Linked DNA regions of Elephas maximus indicus. Each later gene encodes a partner of the first gene's protein in a complex. Links are inferred from orthologs where the notes say so. Each region holds a gene or a part of one and is shown on either strand. Other genes may lie near its edges.

Evidence for each region.
Region 2: AHI1 (region 1) and MKS1 share a complex: the UniProt entries of both Homo sapiens proteins name them as parts of the tectonic-like complex. The link is inferred for Elephas maximus indicus from reciprocal best matches to the Homo sapiens genes AHI1 and MKS1.

The regions. Positions count from the first base shown.
Region 1 is NC_064819.1:205,064,867-205,080,777, forward strand, and holds the start of AHI1 (jouberin), read right to left. Parts: upstream 8,127-15,911; 5' UTR 8,039-8,126; exon of another isoform or gene 8,035-8,038; intron 1-8,034. UniProt on the Homo sapiens protein: Involved in vesicle trafficking and required for ciliogenesis, formation of primary non-motile cilium, and recruitment of RAB8A to the basal body of primary cilium.
Region 2 is NC_064837.1:35,803,960-35,819,912, reverse strand, and holds the start of MKS1 (tectonic-like complex member MKS1), read right to left. Parts: upstream 6,698-15,953; 5' UTR 6,369-6,697; coding exon 6,289-6,368; intron 5,858-6,288; coding exon 5,748-5,857; intron 4,647-5,747; coding exon 4,576-4,646; intron 3,973-4,575; coding exon 3,817-3,972; intron 2,718-3,816; coding exon 2,620-2,717; intron 2,449-2,619; coding exon 2,320-2,448; intron 2,069-2,319; coding exon 1,964-2,068; intron 1,281-1,963; coding exon 1,172-1,280; intron 651-1,171; coding exon 594-650; intron 1-593. UniProt on the Homo sapiens protein: Component of the tectonic-like complex, a complex localized at the transition zone of primary cilia and acting as a barrier that prevents diffusion of transmembrane proteins between the cilia and plasma membranes.

The DNA.
Region 1 (15,911 bases):
TCTAGGTTCTATTTTTCTCCCTCCTCTTTTCTTTATAAGCTTCATTGTAACCAAGCAAACTTTGAGCCATTTGCTTTTTTCTGGAATCAGAATCATCTTCCTACATGCAGAGTAAGTGCTCAGAGTAAACCTTATGTTTCATTTTCTCTGAGTTTTATTTTTTAACAGCACTTAATGTTTAACATGGTATGTTAATATATTTTTAAATATATTTTCAGTAAATTAATGAACATTTCTACGTACTTTTAAGAAACCTAACTCTGCATCAGGATTGACTTCCCCAAGACCACGTATTAGTGAAGTACACCTGAGGGATGTACATCACAGATGATGAATGTACCTGCCACTGAAAATGCTGCTACCACAGAACCCGTGAGAACGAGCGTTTGTACCATCTTTCTCAAATCAACACCTGGGTGTGCCCTGTGGTGTGTCAGAGCTACTAAAAACCAAAGACAAACTCGGCAATACGTTTCTGAGCTGCCAATTTCATATAAAGATTACGTGTCTGTGTTTAAAACTAACGTGTAGTAATTCTCCGTTAGAGCACAAAACGTGCACACATTTTAAAAAATAAAACTGAAGGCTGTAAAAAAAAAAAAAAAAGGAAAACATAATTTGCACCAGTTCAGGCACGCAGTTAATGCTCCAGGCCCCTGAGGAGACATGTTGATGACCCTCTGGTATTGGGATACTTTGGGCAGAAAAGCCTGAGAAAAAATACTAAAGAGAAAAGGGTGATTATATAAAATATACCCCAAATATATGAGAATACTTTTCTATCTACGAGTAGGTACAAAGACAAAAGAGACATCACTAAATTCACACCAGCCACTCTTTGGAAACCCTATGGGGGCAGTTCTACCTTGTCCTGTCAGGTTGCTGTTAAGTCAGAATGGAGCAGAGCTGCCTCATAGGATTTCCAAGGCTATAAATCTTTCCGGAAGCAGACTGCCACATCTCTCTCTTTCTTGAAGTGGTTGATAGGTTCAAATTGCTGACCTCTGGGTTAGCAGCTGAGCATTTAACCACTGTGCCACCAGGGCTGCTCCATTTAAAACCCGGGTCCTGGAATCAGTCTCCCATGGTAACTAGTGTGACTTTGGGCAAACTGTTTCCTCATCTATAAAATCAGCATTGTAAGTGCCTACTCAGAGGGCTGTTACAAGGATTAAATGACTTAGAACAGTGCCTGGCAGAGAACAAGCACCAATAAATATTAGCTACAATAGATAATTCTTCCTCTGTGAGTTTACTGTGGGGCATGTCGAGTTAGGTATCTGAGGGCCACTGGGTGACTACGAGCATAGGACCCATTGTCAGATCCTTGATTTGAATCTGAGAGCTCGGATGCTAACAAAAAGGTCAGCAGTTTGAATCCACCAGCCACTCCTTGGAAATCCTATGGGGCAGTTCTACCCTGTCCTATAGGGTCACTATGAGTCGGAATTGACTTGATGGCAATGTTTTTTTTTTCCCCCCCAGTCTGCCAGCTGATTAATCTCCATGAATCTCGGTTTCCTAGTCCTTGAAGTCACGCGTTTTTGTAAGGATTAAACGAGATCATGCAAGCAAAACACTAGCATGATGCCTAGCACATAGTAAGCCCTCCATAAATGATGGTTATATATGTTATGTTTTGTTGACAATAGGAGGAGCCCTGATGGTGCAGTGGCTAAAGCACTTAGCTGTTAACTGAAAGGTTGGCAGTTCAAACCCACCAGCCCCTCCACGGGGGAAAGATATGGCAGTCTGCTTCTGTAAAGATTACAGCGTAGGAAACCTGATGGGGCAGTTCTACTCTGTCCCATAGGGTTGTTATGAGTTGGAATCGACTCGAGAGCAGTGGGTTTGGGTTGTGGTAGACGACAGAATACATTAATACAGCAGGGAGGCCTGGGCTGCAGATTTGGGCATTATCTGCATATATGTGCAATATTCTTAGCCAACAAAGGTGTTGCTTCTTCTTCAATCTTCCTTACTCAATGTCCAGTTTTTCCACGTCTGTGAGGTGACTGAAAATACCATGGCTTGGGTCAAGTGCACCTTAGTCCTCAAAATGACATCCTTGCTTTTCAACGCTGTAAAGAGGTCATCTGCAGCAGATTTGCCCGACGCAATATGTCCTCTGATTTCTTGACAGCTGCTTCCATGGATGTTAACTGTGGATCCAAGTAAAATGAAATCCTTGACAACTTCAATCTTCTCTCCATTTATCATGATTTTGCTTATTGGTCCAGCTGTGGGGATGTTTGTTTTCTTTATGTTAAGGTGTAATCCATACCGAAGGCTGCAGTCGTTGATCTGCATCAGTAAGTGCTTCAAGTCCTCTTGACTGTTAGCAAGCAAGGTTGTGCCATCCTTCAATTCTCATGCCACGTTCTTCTTTAAATAGTTCATCTTCTTGGATTATTTGCTCAGCATACAGACTGAATAAGTATGGTGAAAAGATACAACCAAGACACACACCTTTCCTGACTTAAAACCTGCAGTATCCCCTTATTCTGTTCTAACCATTGCCTCTTGGTCTACATACAGGTTCCTAATGAGCACAATTAAGTCACTGTACCAAACAGTAATGGTCGACATTCAACCATTCATTGGCAGCATGTGATCAAGAACCAATGGTACTGAAGGAAGAAGTCCAAGTTGCACTGAAGACATCAGTGAAAAATAAGGCTCCAGGAACTGAAGAAATACAAAGTGTGATGTTTCAACAAATGGATGCAAGACTGGAAATGCTCACTAGTCTATGCCAAGAAATTGGAAGACAGTTACCTGGCCAAACGATTGGAAGACATCCGTATTTGCACCCATTCCAAAGAAGAGTCATCCAACCGGAAGCAGAAATTATTGAACAATATCATTAATATCATACACAAGTAAAATTTTGCTGGAGATTAGTCACAAGCGGTTGTAGCAGTACATCAACAGGGAACTGCCAGAAATTCAAGCCAGATTCAGAAGAGGATGTGGAACAAGGGAAATCATTGCTGATGTCAGATGGACCCTGGCTGAAAGCAGAGAATACCAGAAAGATATTTACCTGTGTTTTACTGACTACGCAAAGGCATTCGGCTGTGTGGATCATAACAAATTATGGCTAACACTGCGAAGAATGGGAATTCCAGAACATTTAATTGTGCTCATGAGGAGCCTTTACACAGATCAAGAGGCAGTTGCTCAAACAGAAAAAGGGGATACTGTGTGGCTTAAAGTCAGGAAAATCTGCATCAGGGCTGTATCCTTTCACCAAACTTATTCAGCCTGAATGTGAGCAAATAATCCGAGAAGCTGGACTATACGAAGAAGAACGCGGCATCAGGATTAGTGGAAGACTCATTAACAACCTGTGTCATGCAGATGACACAACCTTGCTTGCTGAAAGTGAAAGAGGACTTGAAGCACTTACTGATGAAGATCAAAGACCACAGCCTTCAGTATGGTTTATACCGCAACACAAAGAAAACAAAAATCCTCACAACTGGATCAATAAGCAACACCGTGTTAAATGGAGAAAAGACTAAAGTTGCTGAGGATTTCATTTTACTTGGATCCACAATCAACGCCCATGGAAGCAGCAGTCAAGAAATCAAAGGACGTTTGCACTGGGCAAATCTGTTGCAAAAGACCTCCTCAAAGTGTTAAAAAGCAAAGATGTCACCTTGAGGACTAAGGTGGACCTGACCCAAGCCATGGTATTTTCAATTACCTTATATGCACGCAAAAGCTGGACAATGAATAAGAAAACCAAAGAAGAAGTGATATATTTGAATTATGACACTGACAAAGAATATTGACTATACCACGGACTGCCAGAAGAAGGAACAAATTTGTCTTGAAAGAAGTACAATCAGAATGCTGTTTAGAAGGGAGGATGGTGTGAGTTGGTCTGACGTACTCCGGACATGTTATCTGGAGAGACCAGTCTCTGGAGAAGGACATCATGCTTGGTATTATGGACTGAATTGTATCCTTCAAAAATGTATGTCAACTTGGCTAGACCATGATTCCCAGTACTGTGTGATTATCCACCATTTTGTCATCTGATGTGATTTTCTGTGTGTTGTAAATCTTATCTCTATGTATATGAGGCAGGATTGGAGGCAGTTATGTTAATGAGGCAGGACTCAATCTACAAGACCAGGTTGTGCCTTAAGTCAATCCCATTTGAGATATAAAAGAGAAGCAAGCAGAGAGACAAGGGGCCTCATTACCACCAAGCAAGAAGAGCAAGGAGCACGCGTCCTTTCGACCCAGGGTCCCTGCACTGCGAAGCTCTTGGACCAGACGAAGACAGATGATGAAGACTTTCCTCCAGAACTGAGAGAGAGAGAAAGCCTTCCCCTGGAAGTGACGCCCTGAATTTGGACTTTTAGCCTACTAGACTGTGAGAGAATAAATTTCTCTCTGCTAAAGCCATCCACTTGTGGCATTTCTGTTATAACAGCACTAGATAACTGAAACACGTGGTAGAGAATCATCAAAAAAGCGGAAGAACATCAAGGAGATGGACTGACACAGTGGCTGCGACAATATGCTCAAACATAGCATGATGTTGCAAGAAATGGACAGTGTTTAGTTTTGTTGCACATAGGATCTCTGTAAGTCAGAACTGTCTCAACAGCACCTAACAACATTTTTTAATAATACAATATGCAATGAAATTTATAAACACTAATATTATTTATTATGCTACGGCTGCTAACCAAATGGTCGGTAGTTTGAATCCACCAGGCGCTCCTTGGGAACTCTACGGGGACAGTTCTACTCCATCCTATAGGGTCGCTATGAGTCGGAATTGACTCAACAGCACTGGGGAATATTATTTAGGTGCCCTGGTGGCGCACTGGTTAAAAGCTCAGCTACTAACAAGGTTGGCAGTTCGAAACTACCAGCAGTTGCTTGGAAACCCCATGGTGCAGTTCTACTCTGTCCTACAAGATTGCTATGAGTTGGAATGGAGTCAACAGCAACAAATTTTTTTAATATTATTTATGAGCCCCTGGGTGGTGTAGGGAGAAGCCCTGGTGGCACAGCAGTTTAATGCTTGGATGGTAACCTAGATATCAGGTCAAACCTTCCAGCTGCTCTGTGGGCAGAAGATGTGGCAGTTTGCTTCCATAAAGATTTATCACCTTGATAACCCTATGGGGCAGTTCTACTCTGTTCTACAGGATCGCTATGAGTTAGAATTGACAGGTTTGGTTTTAGAAGTGCAAATGATTAAGCACTAGGGTATTTATTAAAAGGCTGGAGGTTGAAGTTCACCCACAGGCACTTCCGAAGAAAGGGCCAGAGATTTATTTCCACTATTGAAAGGTCACAGCCATTGAAAACCCTATAAGCAGTTCTACTCTGACACACAAGGGGTTACCATGAGTCGGAATCCACTCAAGGACAACTGGCTTTTTTTTTTTTTTTTTTAAATAATTTTTATTGTGCTTTAAGTGAAAGTTTACAAATCAAGTCAGTCTGTCACATATAAACATATACACCTTACTCCATACTCCCATTTACTCTCCCCCTAATGAGTCAGCCCGCTCCCTCCTTCCAGTCTCTCCTTTTGTGACCGTTTTGCCAGTTTCTAACCCTCTCTACCCTCCCATCTCCCCTCCAGACAGGAGATGCCAACACAGCCTCAAGGGTCCACCTGATACAAGTAGCTCACTCTTCATCAGCTTCTCTCTCCAACCCATTGCCCAGTCCCTTCCATGTCTGATGAGTTGTCTTCGGGAATGGTTCCTGTCCTGGGCCAACAGAAGGTTTGGGGACCATGACTGCCGGGATTCTTCTAGTCTCAGTCAGACCATTAAGTCTGGTCTTTTTATGAGAATTTGGGGTCTGCATCCCACTGTTCTCCTCCCTCAGGGGTTCTCTGTTGTGCTCCCTGTCAGGGCAGTCATCGGTTGTGGCCGGGCACCATCTAGTTCTTCTGGTCTCAGGATGATGTAAGTCTCTGGTTCATGTGGCCCTTTCTGTCTCTTGGGCTCATAGTTATCGTGTGACCTTGGTGTTCTTCATTCTCCTTTGATCCAGGTGGGTTGAGACCAATTGATGCATCTTAGATGGCTGCTTGTTAGCATTTAAGACTCCGGACACCACACTTCAAAGTGGGATGCAGAATGTTTTCTTAATAGAATTTATTTTGCCAATTGACTTAGAAGTCCTCTTAAGCCATAGTTCCCAAACCCCTGCCCTTGCTCCGCTGACCTTCGAAGCATTCAGTTTATTCCGGAAACTTCTTTGCTTTTGGTCCAGTCCAGTTGAGCAACCAGCTTTTTAAAAAATATTATGTAATAATATAGCAGATACATAACTGACCTAATCATTTTTCAATGTTACTGTGTACTACAGAAAAAAACATTACAGAATTAGTGACTACTATTTAATGGACAGCGACATTATCTGACTTAAGATCAGAAGTTAAGATCAGATTAAAAAAGAGATCCCTGAACCTCATAACCCAAACCAAATCAAACCCACTACTGTTGAGTCAATTCCCACTTACAGCGAAGTGGGAACTGACTCAACAGTAGTGGGTTTGAAACCCTGGTGGCGTAGTGGTTAAGTGCTACAGCTGCTAACCAAAGGTTCGGCAGTTCGAATCCACCAGGTGCTCCTAGGAAACTCTATGGGGCAGTTCTACTGTGTCCTATAGGGTCGCTATGAGTCGAAATCGACTCGATGGCACTGGGTTTGGGTGGTTTTGGTATACATGCCATTATTTTAAAACTTCTTCCTCAGATACCTTTTTCACATAAAATGATTAGAGATACTAAGTAAGAAACATAACTGGATTGTTTCAGCTCATTTTAATTTTCCCTGATCTCCTGATTTTCAACTGTCAATCAGTAAGTGACTAAAGATCAAGGGGAAAAAAAGCAGAGAGGCTTGGATGATTCACTCCTTAATCAACTTTAATAGCAAGGAACAAACAAAATTCCCATATAAATAATTCAATTAATAAATCATCAACAAACCCTTTACCATGGAGTTGATTCCAACTCATAGAGACCCCATAGGGCAGTACAAGTGCCCCACAGGGTTTTCTTGGCCATAATCTTCATGGAAACCCTGGTGGTATAGTGGTTAAGTGCTATGGCTGCTAACCAAAGGGTCGGCAGTTCGAATCCACCAGGAGCCCATTGGAAACTCTATGGGGCAGTTCTACTCTGTCCTGTAGGGTCACTATGAGTCAGAATCGACTTGACAGCACTGGGTTCCTCTGGGTAATCTTTATGGAAGCAGCCTGCCACATTTTTCTCCTGCAAATCAACAAGTCTTCATAAACAATATTCTGAATGTGGTTTTAAAAAACTCTTTTGGTATTTGAATTTTTCAAATATTCTTTTAAAAATTTCCCAGGGTCCTCATAACAAGCAATCTTTTTTTCCTGAAAACCTAAGCAATAACAACAACCATTAATGCAACAGGTGAAATAACTGTTGCCATGTCTTTCTCAAAAAAAGTAAAAGCATATACGCCAGTCTGTAGATGATTTCACAGCAATGCTGAAATAAGGCCCAACCATTTGGTAGGGATTCCTAAATTATCAACTCTTTTTCTATTTTTATGTATACTGAAATGACCCTATTACACCTTTTATTTTTTAAACAAATATAACATTCACCACCGTTTTTCAGATGTATTTAAGAAGGCATTTCACAGGCTCAAGATTCAGCACCAGGTTGACACTATAAAAGGAAATAAACATACGCATCTGATTTTAAAGCGTTTAAGCTTGAACCGGGAGCAGTAAAAGCAAGAAATGCGTTCCCTCTTAGGACACCACGCTAACAAGTCACGAAGAGAGTCTTCCACGGAAGGGAGCGGAAAAGTGCGTAGAGGTGTTTCTCAAAAATCACATCCCTCCCCTCCCGGACGCCTGGCAGTGGCGCAGTGCGGCCCCAGCCCGGCCAAGCCGGCACTCCGCCCCCGCGCTCAGACCACATCAGTCCACGCAGTCGAGAGGGCCCGGGCAGGACGAGTCCCCAGCCCTGGGCTCCCACCACCAGCCCGCCAGCCACGTACTCACAAAGCGGAGGGCGCAGAGCTGCTGACCGCCTGTCCCGCCAGAGCCGAGCCCGGGCGGTGGGAAGCGGCTCCCGGCGCCAGGCGAGGTGGGCCGGGAGCTGGGCTGCTACGCAATGGCCCAGCCGCCAGCGACCCAGGATCTGCAAGCGAGCCAGATGCCGCAGTGTGGGCAGTGCACCCTCCTCCCGCCGCTGACGTCAGCGCTAGCCTACGCCGCCGTTCCCATGACAACCGATGCAGCCAGTGCTCTCTATCTGGACCGCAGTCTCTCTTCCGCGCCCCGTCCACGGCCCCGCCCCCGCACCGCCTACGCAGCGGCCCGCGAGGTGCCGCAGTACGCCGCCTGCGGAGGCAACGCGCGCGCGTCCGCTGGCCTGCGGCTGGCGGGCTGACGGGCACGCGCTCCGGGGGGTGCGCGGGGCTCCTCTAAGCTGGGAGCAGGATGAGAAACGGGTATACGCGGTGCTCGTCAGAGCCTGAGCGCGTTTCCACCCTCGCCCCGGAACAGGGGCTTTGCGCCTCAGAACTGCAACAAACGCTGGGAGAAACAGAAGGGGGAAAAGTGAGGCGGGGAGGCTATCGTGGATGCCGCCAAGGAAAAGAAACGTGAATGAAGCAAGAAGCAGGCGCCTCATCTCCCACGCGTTCGCGCCCACAAAAAAAAAAAAATGCCTAAAACGTGGAGAATAGTTGTACTACAGACAAAATCTTAGAGAAAAAATTAATCACTACTCGTCTAGCGGTGAGCTCTCACTGTTTTTAAAACAAAACAAAAATTAAAGCGTCATTTTTTATCTCACGTAATAACCCCGCCCACTTACTTGTGCCGCAGGCGCCATCTTTACCTCTGAGTCAGCAAGGGTGGAAAAATACTAGACAAGTTAAAACTCCTCCGTTCTTGAATTAGAGGCCATTTTCTGCAGTGGTAGTCAGACGTGGTAACCTGTTGCTTCGTTTGTACAGTGAAAGCGTTATCCATCTTTCTGTGGAGGCCAGACTACATTGCCATTGGCTTTCCATTCCACTTTACAGTCCATTCTACACAAAATATATCTCATTCGTTTCTTTAAATCCTGTGAAATAAGCAGTGAGAAATATTATCAGCCCAATGTGTCCCAAACTGAAGTCTTCAACTTTCCACCCAAAACCTCCCTGTCTGGATTTCATCTTGGTTTATGGCACCACTATCCAACCAGTGATCTAGGCAGATACTTGGTGCTGCTGTTAGCTGCCATCCAGTGACCCCAGCTCTTGAATGCATACTGATAAAAATAAATGAGCTTTTAAAAATGGGAGATAAAGCTCTTCCTTATACTAGAATGCCACTAATAAATGAAGGAGGAAGTGATGCAGGTACAAAAATCACTGGGCAACCTGTGTTAGTTATCTAGTGTTGCTATAACAGAAATACCACTAGTGGATGGCTTTAACAAAGAGAATTTTATTTTCTCACAGTTTAGTGGGTTAAAAGTCCAAATTCAGGGCATTGGCTCCAGGGGGGAAGGTTTTTTTCTCTCTGTTGGCCCTGGAGGAAGGTCCTTGTCCTCAATCTTCCCATGGTTGAGGAGCTTCTCAGGCGCAGGGATGCAGTGTCCAAAGGACACGCTCTGCACATGGTGCTGCTTTCTTGGTGGGATGAGGTCCCCCTGTCTTTGTGTTTGCTCTATCTTTTTTGTCTCTGTGCTTGCTGTATCTTTTAAGTCTCAAGAGAATGCTTCTAGACACGATCCAATACTGGAGGTTGAGTCTTGCCTCACTAAGACAACTGCTGCCCGTACTCCCTCAATTAACATCATAGAGGCAGGATTTACAACATACAGGAAAATCACACAACACCAGGAATCATGGTCCAGCCCAACTGATAAACACACATTTTTGGGGGGACATAATTCAACCCATGACACAACCATTACAGTAAAAAATGATTAAGGCAAGAATCATCAATGGATGCTAAAACTAGTGGGTGAGAGTTTTAAGAGGAACAAATTATTTGCATAGTCTCACATTATCTCTGCACAAAATACTTATGAATTACAAAGGAAAAAAAATAGAAACTTGAAGAAATCCGGCACTGGTAATCAGAGTTAACAGTAATGGGGTGAATTTACATCTTGTGACACTTGGTAAGAGTCACTTCAAACACATTTCTGTGGTATTTCTGCCAAAAAGGCATAACCTGAGTCTAATCATGAGGAAACATTAGTCAAATTCAAATTGAGAGACAATCACAAACCTGTATTCTTCAAATGTGTCAAGGTCATGAAAGATAAGGAGTGAGTAAAGAACTTTTTCAGATCGAAGGAGACTAAAGAGACGTGACAACTAAATGGAACACATGACTCTGAATTGAATTATTTGGCTGTAAAATACATTATTGGAACAAATGACAAAATTGAAATGAAATCTGTGGATTACGTGATAGTATTTTAACAATATTAATTTCCTAGTTTTAATGACTGTACTCTGGTAATGTAGGAGACAGCTTTGTTTTTATAAAAAACACACTGAAGAATTTAAAGGTAATGAAGCATCATGTCTGCAACTTAATCCAAAATGATTCAGAAATAAATGTATATATAAAGATAACAAATATAAATAATGAATATAGATAAAGAGTCTGGGTGGCATAAGCAGTTTGCAATCGGCTACTAGCCTAAAGGTCAGCGATTCGAACTCAGCCAATGTCTTCACAGAAGAAAGGCCAGGTGAACTGCTTTTGTAAAGTTTGCAATTAAGAAAGAAAACCCTATTGAACAGTTCTACTGCGTACTTATGGTCACCGTGAGTCAGAAGGCTGACTTAATGGAAGCTAACAGCAACAACAATATATCTAGACAGAAAGACTAATAGAGCAAATGTAGTATGCTAACAATTGGGAAATTTGGGCAAAGGAATTTGAACAAAGTTTTTATAGTATTCTTTCAATTTTTCTGTAAGTTTAAAATTATTTTAAAATGAAAAACAAATGACTTAAAAGCACCTGGGATTCTGGCTCCAGTAACTAGATGAAGAATGATTAATCAATTAAGAATGGAAAGTCAGGAAGAAGAGCAAGTTTGGGGGAAAAGATGTTTAGTTTAAGTGAGATATATCCAGTTATCCAGTAACAGTTGGAATATGTTGTTGCTGTTAGGTGCCAACGAGCTGGTTCCAACTCATGGCCACTCCATGTATAACAGAACGAAGCACTGCTCAGTCCTGTACCATCCTCACAATAGTAAGTATGTTTGAGCCTGTTGTTGCAGCTACTATGTCAATCCTCTCATTGAGGGTCTTCCTCTTTTTTGCTGACCCTTTGCTTTACTAAACATGATGTCCTTCTCCAGGGATTCGTCCCTCCTGATAACATGTCAAAAGTATGTGAGATGAAGTCTAAGGAGCATTCTGGGTATACTTCTTCCAAAACAGATTTGTTCGTTCTTCTCGCAGTTCGTGGTATATTTAACATTCCTCACCAACACCATAGTTCAAAGGCATCAATTCTTCTTTGGTCCTCTTATTCATTCTCCAGTTTTCTCATGCATATGAGGTCATTGAAAACACCATGGTTTGGGTCAGAGGCACTTTAGTCCTCAAAGGACATCTTTGCTTTTCAAGATTGAAAAGAGGCCCTTTGCAGCAGATTTGCCCAATGCAATACGTAGTTTTATCTCTTGACTGCTGCTTCCATGGGTATTGATTGTGGATGCAAGTAAAATGAAATCCTTGACAACTTCATTTTGTAGTGTAATTGAATATTCATGATGTTTATTATGATGTTGCTTACTGTTCCAGTTGGGATATAGTAAGCATATTATAATCAGTCCCAATCACACCGAAGAAAGCAGATATACTGCTTTTGTGTTGTAAACCCAGAGTGCAAGACTTAGGTCGCTCGACCATCCTAGGAGAGGCAGGCAATTAAGAAGTGATAATGGAGAATCTGTCACAAACAGTTAAGCGCTAGATTACTAGAAAGGCTGGCAGTTCAAGCCCACCTAGAGGTGCCTCAGAAGACAGGCCTGGCAATCTGCTTCTGAAAAGTCACAGCCTTGAAATCTCTATGAAATAGTTTCTGTACACATGAGGTTGCCATGAGTCAGAATTGACTGGTTTGCAACTAACAGCAACAACAAAGGTATTGAATAATGTTAAGGACTATTTGTTAACTTTGTTAGGTAAAAGTGGTTGTTGTTGGATGCTGTTGAGTCGATTTGGACACATAGCAACACTGTGATGGAGTAGAACCACCTCATAGGGTTTCCGAGGCTATAACCTTTACAGAAGCAGATTAGCAAAAGCTTTCCCCCTCAGAGCTGCTGGGTGGGTTCGAACCACCAGCAGCCAAATGCTTAACTGTTAAACCCCCGGGGCTCCATGAAATAGTGATATTGTGGTTATATAAGAATATGACTTTTTTAAAGCACTTAGCATAAAGTGTCAAGATGCCTGAGATTTGCTTTAAAATACTACAGGAAAAAAATTATTAGGGGAAAGATGACACATGTATGTCTAAATTTTGATTTCTTGTTGAAGATAGCTGATGGGTATCTGATCTTTTAATATTAGTTTTCTTTATGTGTTTGAAATTTTTCATAGTAAACAGAAAAAATAAAAGTAGGAATATGCATATGATAGAGAATTTGAAAGATATAGAACAATAGAAAAAAAAGAAAGAATACTCCGTTACACTACCCAAAATGAATCTCAGTTGACTTTTTTGGTAAATTTCTTTTTTCCCAAGCATTTCCTCCTGTATCTGTTAGCTGCTTGAATATCTTCTTCGGTGAAGTGTCTGTTCATTTCCTTTGCCCATTTTTTAATTGGATTATTTGCCTTTTTGTTGTAGAGGTGTTGGATTTTCCTGTAGATTTTTTAGAGGTTAGACCTTTGTCAGATTTGTCATAGCCAAAATTTTTTTCCCAGTCTGTATGTTCTGTTTTTACTCTTTTGGTGAAGTCTCTGGATGAGCATAAGTGTTTGATTTTTAGAAGATTCTAGTTATCTAGCTTATCTTCTGGTGTTTGTGTACTTTTAGTTATGGCTTATATCCAGTTAATGCCATATATTAGGGCCTCTAGCATTGATCCTATTTTTTTTGTATGATCTTTATAGTATTTGGTTTTATATTTAGGCCTTTGATCCATTTTGAGTTAGTCTTGTGTGTGGTATGAGGTATGGGTCCTGTTTGATTTTTTTGCAGATGGACATCCAGTTTTGCCAGAACTATTTGTTAAAAAGACTCTCTTTTCCCCATTTGCTGGCCTTTGGGCCTCAGTCGAAGATCAGGTGATGTGTGCATCTATTGCTATAAATAGACCTCTGAGCACTGATTTTACTGTGTCCCAGATGTTTTGGTACAATATGCTTTCATTTTAGGAATCTTTTATTCCATCTTTGGTTTCTTCTATTACCTAGTGGTTTTTAAGCAAGGTGTTATTCAATTTCCATTTATTTTTTTTTCCATTTTTCTTTTTGTTATTAATTTCTACTTTTAGGTGTTGTGATCAAAGAGGATGCTTTGTATTATCTCAGTATTTTGGATTTTGTTGAAGGTTGTTTTGTGGCCTAAGGCATGATTTGTTCAGGAGAACGTTCCATGTGCATTGGAAAAGAATGCGTACTTTGCTGCTGTTGGGTGGCGTGTTCTATATATGTCTCTGAGGTCAAGAGGGTTGATTGTGGCTTTTAGATCTTTTGAATCTTTGTTGAGTTTCTTTCTAGATTTTCTGTCCTTTACCAAGAGTGGTGTGTTGAAGTCTCCTGCTATCAGAGAACTGTCAGTTTCTCTTTTCAGTACTGTTAGTCTGTTTTATATATTTTGGAGCCCTGTCCTTGGGTGCATAGGTATTTATTGTAGTTATGCCTTTATGATGGATTGTCCCTTTAATCATTGTATAATGTTCTTCCTTGTCTTTTATGGTGGATTTTGATTTCAAGTCTGTTTTATCTAAGATTAGTATTGCCACTCTTGCTCTTTTTTGGTTGCTGTTTGCTTGATATATTTTTTCACTCCTTTGATTTTTAATATATTTATGTCTTTGTTCCTAAGGTGTGTCTCTTGTGGGTAACATATTGATGGATCCTGTTTTTTTAATCCATTCTGTCACTCTCGGTCTCTTCATGGGTGCATTTAAGTCTCTTATGTTCAGTGTGATTATTGATAGGTGTACATTTATTGCTGTCATTTTGTAGTGCTTTTTTGTGGTGATGACGTTTTCTTTTTTCCTCTTACTCTTCTGTCCTGAATTCCTTTTTTTGTGGATTTTTTTGTTTGTTTCTTTCATTTTTATCGATTTTGTGTTTACTGAGATTTTGTTTTTCTTCTTTATTTTGATGAATAGGTCTGTTAACTTTCTTTGTGGTTACTTTGAAATTTACCCTTATCTTCCCAAGTTTAAACCAGTCTTTTATTACTTGATAATGCCTTGAGTTCCTCTCCATTTGATACCTACACCATTTATTCCCCCTTTTATTGTTCTGACATTGTTGTTATCTACACATGAATCTCTCTGGTTTCAGTTATAAATTTTTTAGAGTTCATTATCTAGGTTGGAATATGTCCGATGCTGTCTTACGTGTCAGATTCAGGCTGTTGTCTGATGTTTGTTCTCTAACCAATGGACTCCCTTTAATAATTATTATAAGTTTGGTTTGGTTTTTTACATATTTCCTTAATTTCTGTTTATCTGGAAATGTCCTAATTTTGCCATCATATTTGAGTGAGAGTTTTGCAGTATATATTATTCTCGGTTGGCAGTTTTTTTCTCTCAAGATTTTTTATATGTCATCCTATTGCCTTGCTGGCATGGTTTCTGCCTTGTAATCAGTGTTTAGTCTTACTGTTTCCCTTTTGTATATAACTTTTAGTTTTTCTCGAGCTGCTCTCAGGATTCTTCCTTTGTCTTTGGTTTTAGCAAGTGTGATTACGATATGTCTTGGTGTTTTTCTTTTAGGGTGTATCCCATACAGGGTTCATTGAGCTTCTTAGATGATCAGCTTTTCATCTTTCATGATATTAGGGAAGTTTTCTGTCCACAAATCTTCAATGATCCTCTCTGTGTATTCTGTTTTCTCTCCCTGTTCTGGAACCCGGATCATATGCAAATTTTTGCTTTTATTGTTTCCCACATCATTCTCAGGGTTTCTTCATTTTTCTTCGTTCTTTTCCCTGATTTTTCCTCAAACAAAATGGTATCCTAGGATTTGTCTTCAACTTCAATGACCCTGTCTTCATTGTGGAAACCCTGGTGGTGCAGTGATTAAGAGCTATAGCTGCTAACCAAAAAGTTGGCAGTTCGAATCCACCAGGTCCTCCTTGGAAACTCTATGGGACAGCTCTACTCTGTCCTATAAGGTCGCTATGTGTCAGAATCGACTTGACAGCAACGGGCTTGGGTTTGGTTTGGTCTTCATTGTTTCAAATTTGTTCCTAAAACCTTTGGCTGCACTGTCCATTTCTGAAATCTTGTTGTTTATCTTTCGGATTTCTAATTGCTGTTTTTGTGTGATTTCTAGTTTTAATTTATTTTGACATTTTATTCCTATATTATTTTCCTGAATCTTCAATTGTTTTGTTTGTCTTTTCCATGACTGTCTATATTTCCCATGATTTTATTCATTTTTTTCCCCTTATTTTTGTCTGCATTTTCCTTCATATGTTGGAAAACCATGAATATTGGAGTTTTGAATTCCCTATCAGGTAGTTCTAGTGACTTTACTTCTAGCAGAAGGTTGTCTGGTGTTTTATTTTGGTCGCTTTCTGGAGGCATCCTCCCCTGTTTTTTTTTTTTTTTTCTTTTCCTTTTTTTAATGTTTTGATATCTCCTGCTATCTCCAGAAAATTCAGGAATTATTTTCTTCATTTATTGATTGTTTTGTACTGCTGTTTTGTT
Region 2 (15,953 bases), on another chromosome or scaffold:
GGGGAGACCAGTGACTAATTCCATCCTTGTTTCCAGATCTAGAAATGGAACCTCTGGAATGAAGGAAGACAAAGAACAGGACCACAGAATAACTGACCTAAACTGTTCTGTTTTTTAAGAGCCAAAATATTTGACAAACCAATGACAGCCCTTCCCTTTCTATGAGGTACTTAGGAAAAATGTCCACTTGAACCATGAGGAAGATATTTTTCTTTTATATTTTTAAAATTAATTATACAGAACTACATGAATACATTGCCACTGATATTTCAAAGCTAAGTACAGAGAATAAAAAGTAAAAATACTCTCCACATCCCCCTCACAACTCAACACCCATCTACCAATCACCCCCAGAGAAAAGTCCCCATTAGCATGCATGCATGTTCCGATCTTTTTCTGTGTATTAACAGTTCTTTACCAACATGCAACGTTTTAAAACACATAACAAGTTTTATATATGCTATCCTTTGCCTTCCTTTTTATGCTGAAGAGTACATGTTGAGGACCTATAGGAGAGGCACTATCACTCATCCACAGTCAGAATTTGCTGGCTACACACAGCTCACAGTACTGCAGGAAGCCAAGTGACTCACCATCTCAAAGTCAGTGCCCACAAGGCTGCTGAGATACTCCTTGTGCCGGCCGTAAAGCTGAGGAAAAAAACCAAACCAAAACTCCACATGTGAACCAAGCCAGCCCTGCGCTCAGTTCTATTTGGGATAGAGAAAAGTAGCAGCAATGGGAAATGCCACAGAGAGCTGGAGACTTAAGCATCTCGGCCACTGGCATTTTAAAGTGAAGGACAGAGGCTCTGGAGTCAGTTGGTTTGGGGCCAACTTCCAGCTCCAGCACTTGCAAGCTGTGTCATCTTGGGAAGACTACTTTGCTTTTAATCTCGGTTTCCTGAGAATTCCTAAATTGGTAATAATAATAGTATCTGCCTCACGGGGTTGTTACTAAGGTCTAACAAATACTCAATAAATGGTAACTATTATTTTGGCATAATATGAACAAAAACTGCTGCCTGATATGTCAGCAATGCTTCCTAGGACAGGAGAGGACTGTTAAGAGCAAGATTTTCCTTAGCAGCTTCTGGCACCAAACTCAGACATGGTCTCAGCTCCCAGAGATGAGCTCATTCCCTCGGTCCTTGGAAAGAACCACCTCTTACGTCCTTGAACACACGCTGTTCCCGCTCCTCCTCTTCTGGCTGTGCGAGCGACGACACATTGTCGATAGTATACTTCCACAGCTCCTGCTTCTCCCCCTCTGTCTCGATTCTGTAAGGTCAAAGCCATGAAAGGACCAACTCTGATCACAGGAGATGGGGTCCTCCAGACCTAGCCCAGGGATGAGTCATCATGGATCATACGCTCACTTGAAGTATATGATGATGCAAATGGCTCTGATGATGACTAGAAGAAGGAAGCAAAATGGTAACCCAGAAAGGGCATCGGACTAGACTCACAGAGTATGGGGTCTGGACCCATCTCTGCCCCAAAGTCACTGTGAAACCCAAAGGTACAACATCCCTGGCACCCAGTTCTCTTACTTGAAAAATGGGCAAGCTGGTCTAGATGATTTCTTATTTACAGTCCTGTTATTCTAAGGCATGGGGTTGAGGAAAAGTCAGCCTAGAGGAAGAGACCTGGTTTGAGTTCATCTCACCCTGTTCTGGTCAGTCCCTACATTCAGCAGCCACGAGAATTATTTTCACTTAAGTATGTGCTGAAGTTGTCACTTTCAAACTGGTGTAGCTGCACATTTCCTGAGAGCAGGGTCCCCAGCTTCTTAAGGGCCTATGACCCAGAACAGAATATGAACCACTGCCTGGGAATTTAAAAGTTAGGACAGATTAAGGGCTTTTGAAGGATCTTATCAACTAGGAGCATGAAGTGAAGCCAAGAGAAGGAATGTCAGTGTCCACTAACCCTTTCCTAGTGGCCACTCTTCCTCTCCTCACCTGTAGGGTCCTTTGAGGCCAGTGAAGTCAGGTTTTACTGTGATCACACCATTGCTGTCTACCTTCAGAGTACAGAGGACCTGTTCATACTTCTTATAGCCAAGCCTAGAAACCAGGAAATCAACATCAAAGTTCAGGATCCCCAGTCCCAGTTCCAGGGAAAGAACAAGAAGGAGTCAGCTCCCATCAGCAGGGGAGGACAGAGATCTGTGGTAAGAAAACTTTCTGCCAAGTACAACTAAGAAGAAAAAGTCCTTCTCTCTCATGTGCCCAGCGATGACTCTAACAGGAAGGTGATGGTCAGTGTGAGCAGAAGAGGATGAGGGCCTGAGTAGGTGGTATGAAGCTTTACTCACTTTCCATAGGGCCCCAGGTCTGCCATGATGTACATTGTCTGAAGAGGGGTGTTAATAACGTGGTTGTTCCTGACGAACTCTTCTGAGGGTTCCCAGGTGACGATGCGTGACTTGAGGATGCCGCCCTCCCTGGGAGACACCACACGAAGGGTCACTTGCCCAGCAGCCCCTGAAGATCACACTCCAGGTGGAGGCCCGTTCCAGAATGGGAGACTCGAGACAGTGGACGTACTGAGAATGTTGGCATGGCAGGACCACAAAGACCCCCATCCCCCAGCGCCCATACACACTTGCACTCACATCCCTCGCCTGTCCTGCCGCCGCCGCCTGACATTTGCCATTCGCTCGACCAAGAAAGATGGTACCTCGTTGGTTGCGGTGGTCATTTTCTGACAGTGCTAAGGAAAGAGAGCAGCCCTGTGTGACCCATCTGATCAGGGCCACATGGAACCAAGAGACTTCCAGAGGGGAAGTCTTCCTTCTGAAGCCCCATCTGTGACTGAACTAAAAAAAAACCAAAAAACAGGTATAGCCACCTCAAAATTATATATGCTAACGGAGGGAAGCAGTAGCCCAAACAACCCAAAGAAAATTCCCCTAGGCCTATGATTTTGGTAGCATATTATCCTGCAGAAATGAGTCTATACAGGCTAATATTAAAATCAGCCTAACATTCCCTGAGAACATACCAATAAAAAGTTGGGTGAGTTTGCCTAGTTAAAGTTTAACTAGGTGGTTTAAAGATGCCAGATGGGATAAAAGCATTTTGTGGAAAATCCTCATACGGTTAATAGAGCACTAACTGCATTTTCACCTGCTTTTCCAGCACAAACAACTCAAATTCTACATGCTACCAACACATGAAAGCATGCCCATCTTTCAAAAGCAATCATTTAACACCTGCTCTTTGCAGAGATCTACAAGGTCATAGAGAAAAATAAAAAATGCAGGCTCTACCCTCCACCAGCTTAAACTTTCCCTAAGAAGACAGAACACATCATGCAGTGACTGGAGAAAATATAAAAAAACCCACAAGGGTATGTTAACATAGGTGCATTGGAGACCTAAGGCCCCTCCCATGGCTGTACTGAATTCCTCTCCAAACCCATATGGTCAGAGATTTGGCTGAATACCCTGATGCATTTTATCTAGGTTGTTCCAGACTCCACTCACCTGGCTCATTTCATGATTCAAGCAGGAATTCAAGCCCAGTGGCTGCTTCTTCAGTTGGCAGTCTACAAGGCTATCACTAAAGACACTGGTCCCTGCTAGCTCCCTGGCCCTCCAGAAGGCAAACAAGGCAGCAGCAGCCACACCACCTGCAGACTGTGCCCTCTCTACTCCAGTGTGGCTGCCAGCAGCATGCAGGAGCTCTAGGATGGCTACCTGTCTCCCCTTAACAGGCTTCTGATTTAGCACACAGAACCCACTGAGGCCAGAAAGCTGGGGGACGCAAAGTGGAAGAAGGGAGCTATGGGACCTCGGAATGAACGATACCTCCTCCAAGTTGGTGTATCTATCGGAGTCGGTATAGGTAAAGATTCGCCGGTTCTTCCTGCCACCTGAATCCTCCAGCTTCAGGATCTCTTGACGGTACTGGTGATCCAAAGGGCTCTGACAGGCTGCTTCATTTTGGTACAGATCTACCTCAAACTGAGGTCACCACAAGGAAACAAAAATCTACTGAGGATACTTGAAACTTTTGTTCCTGTAACTTTTTAATCAAATTATTTCTATAGAACTGATGCTATTTGACATGTTTTCAGAACCTAAGCTAATGGTCGGCAGGGGATTCAAAAAAAGGAACCAGGGTGACATTCTAATGCAACTCTTCTGCTACAGATGGCATGTGGCCCAGAGATGATACGTGCTGTACCCAAGATCATAAAACTTAGTGGCAGTCAGAATTTGACCCAATAAACACAACAAGGGACAGTATACACTGTTACAACCTTTCCCAAAATCAGTTTGGCAGTATGTATCAATAATCTTCAAAGTAATATTTTAATCCAGTTATTCCACTTCCAAGAATCTTATCTGAGAAAATAATCAGAGAATCAGATGAGGCTTAATACAAAGATCTCACTGAAACACTGTTTAAAATTAGTGATGTGGGTCTATCAGCAAAGCCCTGACCTGGGGAGCCGTGTTGGCAGCAGCCTCTCTTTCAAAGATGGGGATCTCTTTCCCTGTTGCCAGCCAGGTGGAGATGGGCCAGATGGAAGTACACTGAGCTGACACGTGACACTGGCTCACCTGGCTAAAGAGCTTCTCCTGCCACCCGATCACAACCTCCTCCTCTTCATCTTCATCTGGGCGATGACCACCTTCAAACACAACAGAGTGAGTCAACTGCTTGAGCCAAACCAAGGCCACTGTGGTTGGTTATAACCAAAGCCTCTGCTCTTATATTTACGACAAATCCAGCTGGAGTTCAGTGATTTATTAAGTACTCACTCTGACAGAAACTAGTGAGGCTGAATATGTGCTCTGGTTAGTATGTGCAGAAACCAGGATTAGAACCCAAGAAATCTTAACCACTACTCTAATTTGAATAAAAGGTGGTCCTGCCTTCCAAGTATTATTAAATCTAAGTCAGTGTCAGGGACTGAAATTTAAATATAAGCTGAACAGCCCTTCCTCAATCTCAACAGCCTGCATTTGCTAGAAAAGAATCCTGAAGCGATGTATTTAGAAACACAAACTCTGTAACCTTAAGAGGCTGAGGCGGGAAGAAGAAAGTCAAATAAATGATTTTTTTTTTAAAGAGCAAAACCTAATCCACTCCTGGCTGAGTATGTCTTTTTCAGAGACACAGTTCACAACCCACCAGCCCATGCTCTTGCTCAGGAATATTTCTCAACAGAAGCACAACAAAAGCACAGCGACTAGTGACTTAACACAAGCACTCTCCTCTGTCCTCACTCTTCTGGCTTCCCAGACAAGAAAAACCGCAAGAGCACAGTTGATGTTAATATGTACATTTGTCTAGCAGTAAAGTTGAGGACTATTTTAAAGTCCTCAACTTTAAAATAGTTTATGCATGTGTTTAGAGTTAGGACATATTTTCTTTTAGAAAAAAAAATTGTTTCAAATGGTATTTAGGCTGCCAGGCAAATCTATAACATATCAAAAATAAGGTTATTTGTTATTTCACTACAGATGACCACAATTCACATCAGTAACTTGATGGCAGGAATCACAGTGTAGTGCCTAAAATTGCCAGGCTTCAAACACTGGCTCTGACATTAACCAGCTGCAGGACCTTCACAAGAAACCCAACCTCTCTGTGCCTTAGCTTCCTCATCTGTAAAAAGGCTGCTGTCAAAAAGTAGACCTGGGTCTACTCTGTCGTAAGAGGTAAGTCTACCACCCCAGGCCCTTCCCTCAGGTCCCCAGGAGGGCCTGCATCACCACATAACACCCACTGGCGGTTGGTTGGGGCCTAAAAGTGGCCAAGTCTATGAGGTCCTTCCCGGGCTGGGTGGCAGGCTGGTAATGGAGAAAGTTGCCTGATGTAATTCTTTGCAGGTGGACTCTGTCAGGAAAAGAGACGTCCAAAATACGCGTTACAAGGCACACAACTAGAAGATAAACACAGAGCAAGTATGGAAAAAGCAAAACACTGAGCAGGGTGGGGCTGCCAAGGTGTGTTAGGTGCAGAAGACTGAAGGGAGGTGAGTGAGACACGAGGCTCTCAGGGGAAAGGTGAAAACAAGAGGGCGTATTGAGGACTCAGGGCTCCGAGGAATTTGGGTAGTACAGAGACTGAAGAGGACTGCGTGAGTCTGGAAACTGTGCTGGAAGGCTCGGGGTGGAGAAGGGTTGAGGTAGTGCGATGAGATGTGGGAAGATGAAGATGTGGCGAGGATTGTAAGCGGAAGTGGGGGCCTCAGAACATTGAGTTCAGGCTCGAATTATCTGAGGGGATAAAAGCACGGAGCCCAGGTGCCGGGGCAGTGCTACTACCGGAGGCGCAAGTTGCGCACGGGGTCCCGGGAGCGGTACACGGCCTCGCCGGTGTCAGAGCTCCAGACGGCCTCCGCCATGACGGCTGTGCTGCGCCGCGACTGCGCCGGAAAGCGCGCCGCCCCTAGTTCCCCTGGCAACCGAGACGCTGAGTCCCGAAGGTCGCCGAGCCGCTGCGTGCGCAACTCACTGTTCCCGCCGCGGCCTGCAGCAACGCAACGCCTGTGGTCAGCATGCCCGTTTCGTATAGATGAAGAATGGTCATGGAGACGAGGCTCGGGTGATCTCAGCCACTACTCTTTCCCCTGTACCGCACTGCCTTCCACGGAGCACACGAAAGCTGTGACCTGAAAATCGGTTACTGTGACTCAAAGAGTGCACCCCCTCTTCCCAAAAGAGCTAGGGCAGGTGGTGGCATTTACTTAGACACGAAAAGATATTCTTGGAAGAAAAAACAAGTGCCAAGAGACTTATTAGTCGCTGTGTTAGTATTCACTGAGATAGAGAAAGAGAAAACAAGGAAGTTAATAGTCAGGAAAGAAAAGATGTTATTGAATTGGTTTGTCCCTGTGAATGTTAAGTCACTTTAGAAACTGCACTGGCCTCCTGAAAGGCCAACAAAATGTCCTTCAGGAGTCATGCTTCATTGGCCTAGCAAAGGAGGCAGGGCACACCATGGCCTCAAGTCTGGCTCCCTGGCACCTTGGGGATGTCAATATTTATCACTGTTTGACATCTGCCACTCCACCAACAGAATAAGTAATTGTCCCCAGAACTCAGAAACCTCATGCCACTGGGAACTCTGGGTGGCATTTCTGCTCTTGTGTAACATCAAGGACTCACCATAATAATAAACCGGCCAAACCAAACTCATTGCCATCGACTTGATTCCGACTCATAGCAACCCTATAGAACAGAGTTAGAAATGCCCATAGGGTTTCCAAGGCTGTAATCTTTAAGGAAGCAGATTGCCACATCTTTCTCTGATGGTGCGGCTGATGGCTTCAAACCTTTTAGTTAACAGCCTAACCACTGCACCACCAGGGCTCCTTAAAATTACAGTCATTGAAAACCCTATGGAGTGAAGTTCTACTCTGAAACACATGCAATTGCCATGAGTGGAATGAACTCAGCAGGGGGTGAGGGTCTAATATAGCTTGGGCACTTGGTTTGCATTGTTCCTATGCAAGGTGTCCTAGAAACCCCTCAAGTAGGTATTGTTATTCCCACTTAACAGGTGAAGTTCGTGAAGGCTTGCTAAGATTGAACTACTAGTGAATGGTGAAGGAGCTGAGATTCTAGCTCAGGTTTGTCCGGATTCTGAGGCCTGAACGCCATCCATGTGCCTCACAGCCTTTCACCTACTGGTTCATTCCATAAGAGCACACGGTTTCCAACCTGGGAATAATTATTTCAACAGATGAAACCATGGAGACAGAATACTAGCTCCTAAAAAAAAAGGTCACTTTGATTTTTCCTTTTAAAGTTGTGAATGGATAACACTTATCACCCCAATAACAAACGATAAGGTAGAACTGCATCAACAGTTTAGTGTTATAAACAAACTTACAGCAAAGTCAATCTGACACAATTATATGCAAAATAGTTACCGTACCACCGAAGCCAAAAAAACCCATTGCCATCAAGTAAATTCCTATTCACAGCCACCCTGTAGAGCAGAGTAGAACTGTCCCGTAGGGTTTCTAAGGCTGTAATCTTTACAGAAGCAGACTACCACATCTTTCCCCTGCAGAGCAGCTGGTAAGTTCAAACTGCCAACCTTTCATTTAGCAGCCAAGTGCTTAACCACTTCACCACCAGGGCTCCTTACTATACCACCAAACCAAAAACCAAACCCAGTGCCATCGAGTTGATTCCAACTCATAGCGATGCTATAGGACAGAGTAGAACTACCCCATAGAGTTTCCAAGGAGCGCCTGGCGGATTTGAACTGCTGACCCTTTGGTTAGCAGCCGTAACACTTAACCACTATGCCACCAGGGTTTCCTACTATACCACAGGGTATGGAAATATACGCTATTTGTATGAGTGATCATAACTAGTATTATTTTTATACAGGTAAACTTAGTTTTTACGTTTTCTCCTTGTTTACTAAATCCATTGCAGTTGAGTTGATTCCAACTCATAGCGACCTTATAGGACAGAGTAGTACTGCCTGTTAGGGTTTCCAAGGAGCTGCTGGTGGATTTGAACTGCCAACCTTTTGGTTAGCAGCCAAACACTTAACCACTGTGCCACCAGGGGCTTTGTTTACTGGCATTATTTGGAAAGAGTTCATGACTTTTATCAGATCGCTGGAAGGAGTTTTTACCCTGATGTGAAGAATGGCCTGATTACCACTATCCAAACCCATTGCCGTCAAGTCAATTCTGGCTCGTAGCGACCCTGTAGGACAGAGTAGAACTGCCCCATAGAGTTTCCAAGGAGTGCCTGGTAGATTCAAACTGCCAACCTTTTGGTTAGCAGCCATAGCACTTAACCGCTATGCCACCAGGGTTTCCGACTACCACTATAATTATACAAAATTTACTAAAAGTAAAATCTCAATAATTTTCAAGAGAAAAGGCAATCAGCATATGCCAGCTTCAAGAGGACCCAGATATCAGACTAATCAGACAAGGGTTTTAACTATCATAGCCATGCTCTACTGTGGGCACTAAGGACAAACACTCTTGAAAAAAAATAGAAAGAAATTCTCAGCAGAGAAATAGAAACTATAAGAAAAGAAACAAATGGAATTTTATAACTGAAATAAAAATTCACTGGATGGGCTCAATAGCACAGTGGAGGTGGCACAGGAAAGTCAGTAAACACAAAGATAGGTAAATAGAAAATATACAATCTAAGGAGCAGAGAGAGAAAAAAGATTGAAAAAAATTAAGAGTTTCAGAAACCTGTGAGAAAATATCAAAAGTCTTAACATTCGTGACATTGGACTCCTAGAAGGACAGGAGAAAGAGTGTGGCAGAAAAAATATTTGAGGAAATAATAGCTGAAATTCTACCAAATTTGATAAAAGACGTAAATTTACAGATTCAAGAATGTCAATGAATCCTGAATAGGAGAAATTCAAAGAAATTGTTTAGGGAATATAGTGAAAGAAAAAGGGCTGGAATAGCCAAAACAATTTTGAAAAGAAAAATGAAGTTGGAGAGCTCACACAACCTGAACTGAAACTTACTATCAAGCTATAGTAATGAACACAGTATGGCATTGGTGAAAAGACAGAAACATAAATCAATGAAACAGACTGGAGAGTCAAGAAATAGACCCACACAAATAGAGTCAATAAGTTTTGACAAAGGTGCAAGGGAAATTCAATGCATAAAGTATAGCCTTTTCAACAAATGATGCTGGATGATGGACTTAAATGTCCATAGGCAAAAAAATGAAACTCAACTCATACTTCACACCTTATACAAAAGATAACTTGAAATGTACCTGAATGTAAAGCATAAAACATCTAGAGGAAAACATAGGAGAAAATCTTTGTGCAATTAGATCAGACAAAGAATTTTTAGATATGACAACAAAAGCGGGATCCATAAAAGAAAAACAAGAAAAATTGGAATTCATCAAAATTGAAAAAGTTGCTCTGCAAAAGACATTGTTAAGACAATGAAAAGACAAGCCACACAGTGGGAGAAAATATTTGCACTGGAAGAAAATACTTGCCTTATCACATATCTGTCCAAGACTTGTATCCAGAATATAAAAAGAAGTCTGAAAACTCAACAGTAAGAAAACAAACAACCCAATTAGAAAATGGGCAAAAGACCTGAACAGAGACTTTGCAAAGACATATGAATGTCAAATAAGTACATGAAAAGATACTCAGCATAATTAATCATCAGGAAATGCAAATTAAAACCACAAAGAGATGGTGGTTGGTGGTTGGAACCCATCCAGCTCTTCCGTGGGAGAAAGACCTGACAATCTGCTCCCGTAAAGATTACAGCCTAGAAAACCCTATGGGACAGTTCTACTGTGTCACACGAGGTCGCTATGAGTTGAAATTGACTCAATAGCACCTAACAACAACAACAATCAAGCTTATGAGTCCCTGGGTGGCACAAACAGTTAAGTACTTAATTACTAGCTGAAAAGTTGGCGGTTTGAATCCACCCAGACAGGGCTGGCAATCTGCTTTCGGGATAGCAGTCTTGAAAACTCTATGGAGCAGTTTTACTCTCATAGGATCACCATGAGTCAGAATCAGCTCAACAGTAACTAACATCAGTAACATCTAGAATATATAAAGAGCTCTTACAAATCAACAATAAAAGGGCAAATAAAAATATCAATAATCGTAAAAGTAAAAAAATAATGGCAAAGGATTTGAATAGACATTCCTCCAAAGAAGATATACAAGTGGCCCATAAGCACACAGAAATATGCTCAATATCATTAGTCATCATAGAAATACAAATCAAAACCACAATGAGATACCATTTTGCATCCATTAGAATGGTTATAATCAAAAGACAGATAGTAACTATATTCGTGAAAATGTGGAGAAATTGGAACCCTCGAGCTTTGCTGATGGGAACGTAAAATGGTGAAGCCACTTTGGAGAACAGTCTGGCAGTTCCTCAAAAGGTTAAAAAGAGTTACCCAGCAATTCCACTTTCAGGTATTTACCTAAGAGAATTGAAAAACATTCTGGAGGTCCCTGCTGGAGAGTCCCATAACCTGGGTCTGTGATGGATTAATGAATCCAAACAAAACTCGTATGCAAAAGTTTATAGCAGTATTATTCATAATAGCCAAAAAGTAGAAACAACCCAACTGTCTATCAACTGATGAAAGGTTAAGCAAAATGTGGTATATCCATACAATGGAATATTATTCCATCATGAAAAGAATAAAGTACTAATATATGATGTAACATGGTAGAACCTTGAAAACATGCTAAGTGAAAGAAGCCAGATGTGAAAGGCCACATATTGTATGATTCCGTTTACATGAAATTTCACACTAGTAAAATCCACAGAGACGGAAAATAGATAAGTGCTTGCCAGGGAGTGAGAGGGAGAGGAAATGAAGAGCGACGGCTAATAGGTACAAAGTTTCTTTTTTTTTTTTTTTTTGGCAAGGTTTCTTTTTGAGGTGAGAAAAATGTTTTGGAATTAGATCATGATAATTGTTGTACATGGAGCCCTGGTGGTGCAGTGGTTAAGCAGTCTAGCTGTTAACTGAAAGGTCGGCAGTTCAAACCCATCAGCTGCTCTATAGGAGAAAGATGTAGCAGTCTGCTTCTTTAAAGATTACAGCCTTGGAAACCCTATGGAGCAGTTCTACTCTATCTTGTAAGCAATAAGTTGGAATTGACTCAACGGCAATGGGTTTCCTTTTTTTTTTTTTTGGTTTAATATTTGCACAATTTTGTGACTATATTAAAACCCACCAAATTGTATACTTAAAATTTTTAAAAAACAACCTGCCTCCACAAAACTGAGCCTCTACCCAACAGAAAATAGAGATGCAGTGGTTAAGTGCTCAGATGCTAACCAAAAGGTTGGCAGTTGGAATGCACCAGTGGCTCCACGGGAGAAAAGACCTGGTGATCTGCTCCTGTAAGATTTACAGCCTAGGAAATGCTATGGGGCAGTTCTACTCTGCCCTGTAGGGTCACTATGAGTGAGAATCAACTTGACATCATACAACAGCAATAGCAGCGCACACAGTATGCAAAGATTCATTGGACTTCAAGGAGAAGGAGGAAAGAAGAACATGAAGTTATAAGAGGAGACATGGAGAAGGTCCCAGCTGGAGAGGCCCATAGCCTGTTTCCAAGATGGGCTAATGGATCTGAGAAGGCGGTTAAGACAAGAGGGACCGGGGAGTGATTGATCCCATTTCCCGGGGAGGCAGCAGCAAGACCTGCAGTAGGAACAGATGTGAAAAGACCATGGAAGGCTTGGCAGTGATGCCTGTGTCCTTGTACAGCAAGGAAGTGGCAGAAAGACTTCTATGCTTCATAGCAGTCAGGCAGAAATCAGAGAAGCTACTAGCCCTGAAGGGACAGGCTGACAAGGCAGAAGCCCTCCCCGGGGCTGAGGTATAGCTGGGTTATGAGCGCTCTATAAAGACCTTTGTGAACAGAAAACACTGAGTACCCCTTGCTTTTCACTGGGATGGGGGCAGGAGGACTCCAAATTTTCACACCCCAATGGAAACAGAAATGAAGTCAAGTTAAAGAAAAATCCGACTCGACGGCACTGGGTTTTTTTTTTGGATAAAAATACAGAACAGAATTTCAAATTCTCATGCTATTCAGACTTTCTGGAGCCATTTAGGCTGGATGAACCCTCAAAACTACTGCCTTGAGATAATCTTTAAACTTTAAACCAAAAATACCCCCTGAAGTCTTCTTTAAACAAAACGGTAGTTTAGCTTAACTAGTAAAGAATGTCTGCCTTGAGCATTATGCTTTTTCAAGGTCTATTTACACGGAATCAAATTTACCACAGCAACTCAAACGATTAGATAGCAGAGAATTTATGTTAATGGGGGAAGAACAACTCAGAAAAGGAGGGCAAGAATGGTTGTACAACTTGAAGAATGTAATCAATGTCACTGAATTGTACATGTAGGAATTATTAAATGGTGTGTGTTCTGTGGTATATATTCTCACTAAGACTACAATTAAAATAATAAAATAAATTACGGTATCAACAAAATCAATGAATCAAAAAATGGCCCATGGGTCAAATCAAGCCCACTGTCTGTTTCTGTAGGTTAAGTTTTATTGAAACACAGCCATCTCATTTGTTTACATACTGTCTATGGCTGCCTTCATGGTGTGACTACAGAGTTGCCAGAGGCCAGTGGCTTACAAAAGCTAAATTATTTATCATCTGGCCTTTACAGAAAAAGTTTGATAACCCTTGCTTTAGAAAATCAATAAAATTGGTAAACCTCTAGCTAGATAAAGAAAAAAAAAAATTTTTTTTTTTTTTGATAGATCAAGACAGAAAGAAGTCCCAAATTACTAGTATTACGAATGGGAGAGAGGACATCATTACAACTGCTATGAGGCATTAAGTGAATAATATTGAAATACTATAAACAACTTTATGCCAATAAATCTAATAAATGAAATGAACAAATTCCTTGAAAGATACAAACTACCAAAGCTCACTATACCTTTAACAGCCCTCTATCTATTAAACTGCAAATTCTTCGGCTTAACCCCAGTCCTACTAAATCAGAACTCTGAGACAGAAGCCCAGCAATCTGTGTTTTAGCAAGCCCTCCAGGTGATTCTGATGCGGGCTCAAGTCTGAGAACATGGGCCTCAAAGGCTTCACTCGAGCAGTGAGCGAGCTATGGTATTTATACACTAGCCCCTCTCAGCCATTGAGTGAAGGTTACTCCCAAGAGGTCTTAATTCCTAACAGTCCTGGCCTGACACACATGTGGACAGGGAAATGTAGTTGTTGGCAGTTGTAAGTCAGGCTGGCACACACTGAAATGCTAGTCATGGGTGAGGAACAGCATCTGCTACAAATATAGCAATAGATTGTTCTACCATAATATGGGTACACCGTAAACCATTTAGGACCCTCGTGGCGGGACGGTTAAGAGCTCGGCTGCTAACCAAATGGTTGGCAGTTTGAATCCACCAGCTGCTCCTTGGAAACCCTATAGGGCAGTTCTACTCTGTCCTATAGGGTCTGTATGAGTCGGAATCTACCCAACATCAATGGGTATAAGACATTTATGTTTTTGTTTTTGCTTTTATTTTCACAAACAATGCTTCAAGTAGCATCCTTACATGTTCTACAGACTCCCTGCTCTACTCCCACATTTGGGCTATAGTAATGACAGAAAAATGACCTGAGCAATGATCTGTCTGGATTTTGCTGAACCCAGGCCAGTTTACTCAGAGCACCAAGAGCAGGAGGATCCTTGCCTTTCCCAGTCTCCTTGCAGGCAGTGTGTCAGCAGGTAGAACAGATGAGGCCACATAAGTATTACCATAGTGACATACCAGAGACCACATGGGTATTACCACACTGACGTAGAGACCATGTGGGTATTATCACACTGACATAGAGACCACGTAGGTATCACCACACTGACATACAAAGGCCACGTGGGTATTACCACAATGACATACAGAGACCACATGGGTATTACCACACAGACATAGAGACCATGTGGGTATTACCATACTCACATAGAGACCACATGGGTATTACCACACTGACATACAGAGGCCACATGGATATTACCACACTGACATACAGAGACCACATCGGTATTACCACGCTGACATTGCCAGAGTCAATAGGAGAATAAAATAGGTCAGCAATATGCAGGAGCTCAGCCTCTGAAGCAGTTTACTTATACGTCCTAGCCAAATCTAAAATGCCTCTTCCCAAGAAACTTACTATGCTTCTGATAATTTTAATTGCTTTTGTCTTGGGCAGCCTCATTTTCCCTACAGCATGTCCCAACAGGTTAGCCCAGATCTCTCCAGTGATGTGGCAAGACTTGGGGCAAAAGGAGTGTTTTAAATAGTAGGACTCATGATATTGGCTCCTATGGGTCTCCTCTCCAAGAAGGGGTTTTCATTTTTTTAGAAATCGAGGGACTATAAAATTCAACTTCCATGCACCTCCTTTTCTTGCTGTAAATAACAAAGAAATTAGTCTCTAAGTAGTCAGTCTTCTCCCTTTCTTATTTCCAGAACTTTTTTCTAATTGTAGGATTCATCCAAGTTCAGTCTCATTACAATCCACTGACTTTTCCAAAATCAGCAGTAACTTTTTGAAAATCTATGTTTATGTCTACACAATAATTTTGGGTCCAGGTTTTGGCTATAATCTCAAAAGCATTATTTGGCTCCAGCTATTGGGGTTGAAAGTAGGTGGTGATGCAAATCCCTTGTGTAAGGATTCTCAACAATCCTGCTGAGCCCCTAAAATGAGGTGGTTATGAGTTTGCCCCACAATTCACTAATTTATTCACTTAATTAATTTGTTCCACGAATATTTATTGACGGCCTTCCATTTGCCAGGCACTATGCTAAGCCCTGGGAATAAGCAGTAAACAGTCTCTGACCTCAGAGAACTTACGTTATGATCAGGGTAAACAGAAAGTAAAAAAATAAAAAAAGTAAAGCATACAGTACAATATGGTAAGTTCCATGATGAAAAATAAAGCAAGAAAGAAGGATAAGAATTGTAGGAGAAGGGTTCAAAAAATTTTAAAGGGAAATCAGAAAATACTGTGATATTCATGCCAATATGTAAAGACCATAAGAGTGTGAGCTATGCGGATATCTGGAGAAGGAACATTCCTTGTTCCAGACAGGGTGAGACTAGTGGAGTATCTTAGATGGCCACTCACAAGCTTTTAAGGCCTGACACTACTTACCAAAGTAGAATGTAAAACATTTTCTTTATAAACTATGTTATGCCAGTTGAGCCAGATGTTCCCCGAGACCCTGGTCCCCACATCCCTCAGCCCAGTAATTTGGTCCATCAGGGTCTACGAGTTTCTTGAGCTCTTCAGGGAATGCCGATGCTGCCTGGGCATCAGCCGATGCCGATTCGCCCGTGATCTCGAAGCTCTGGAGATTTTAGTGCTTTCCAAAGCTAGCCAGCCATCCCTTACCAGCCTTAAATGCCTTC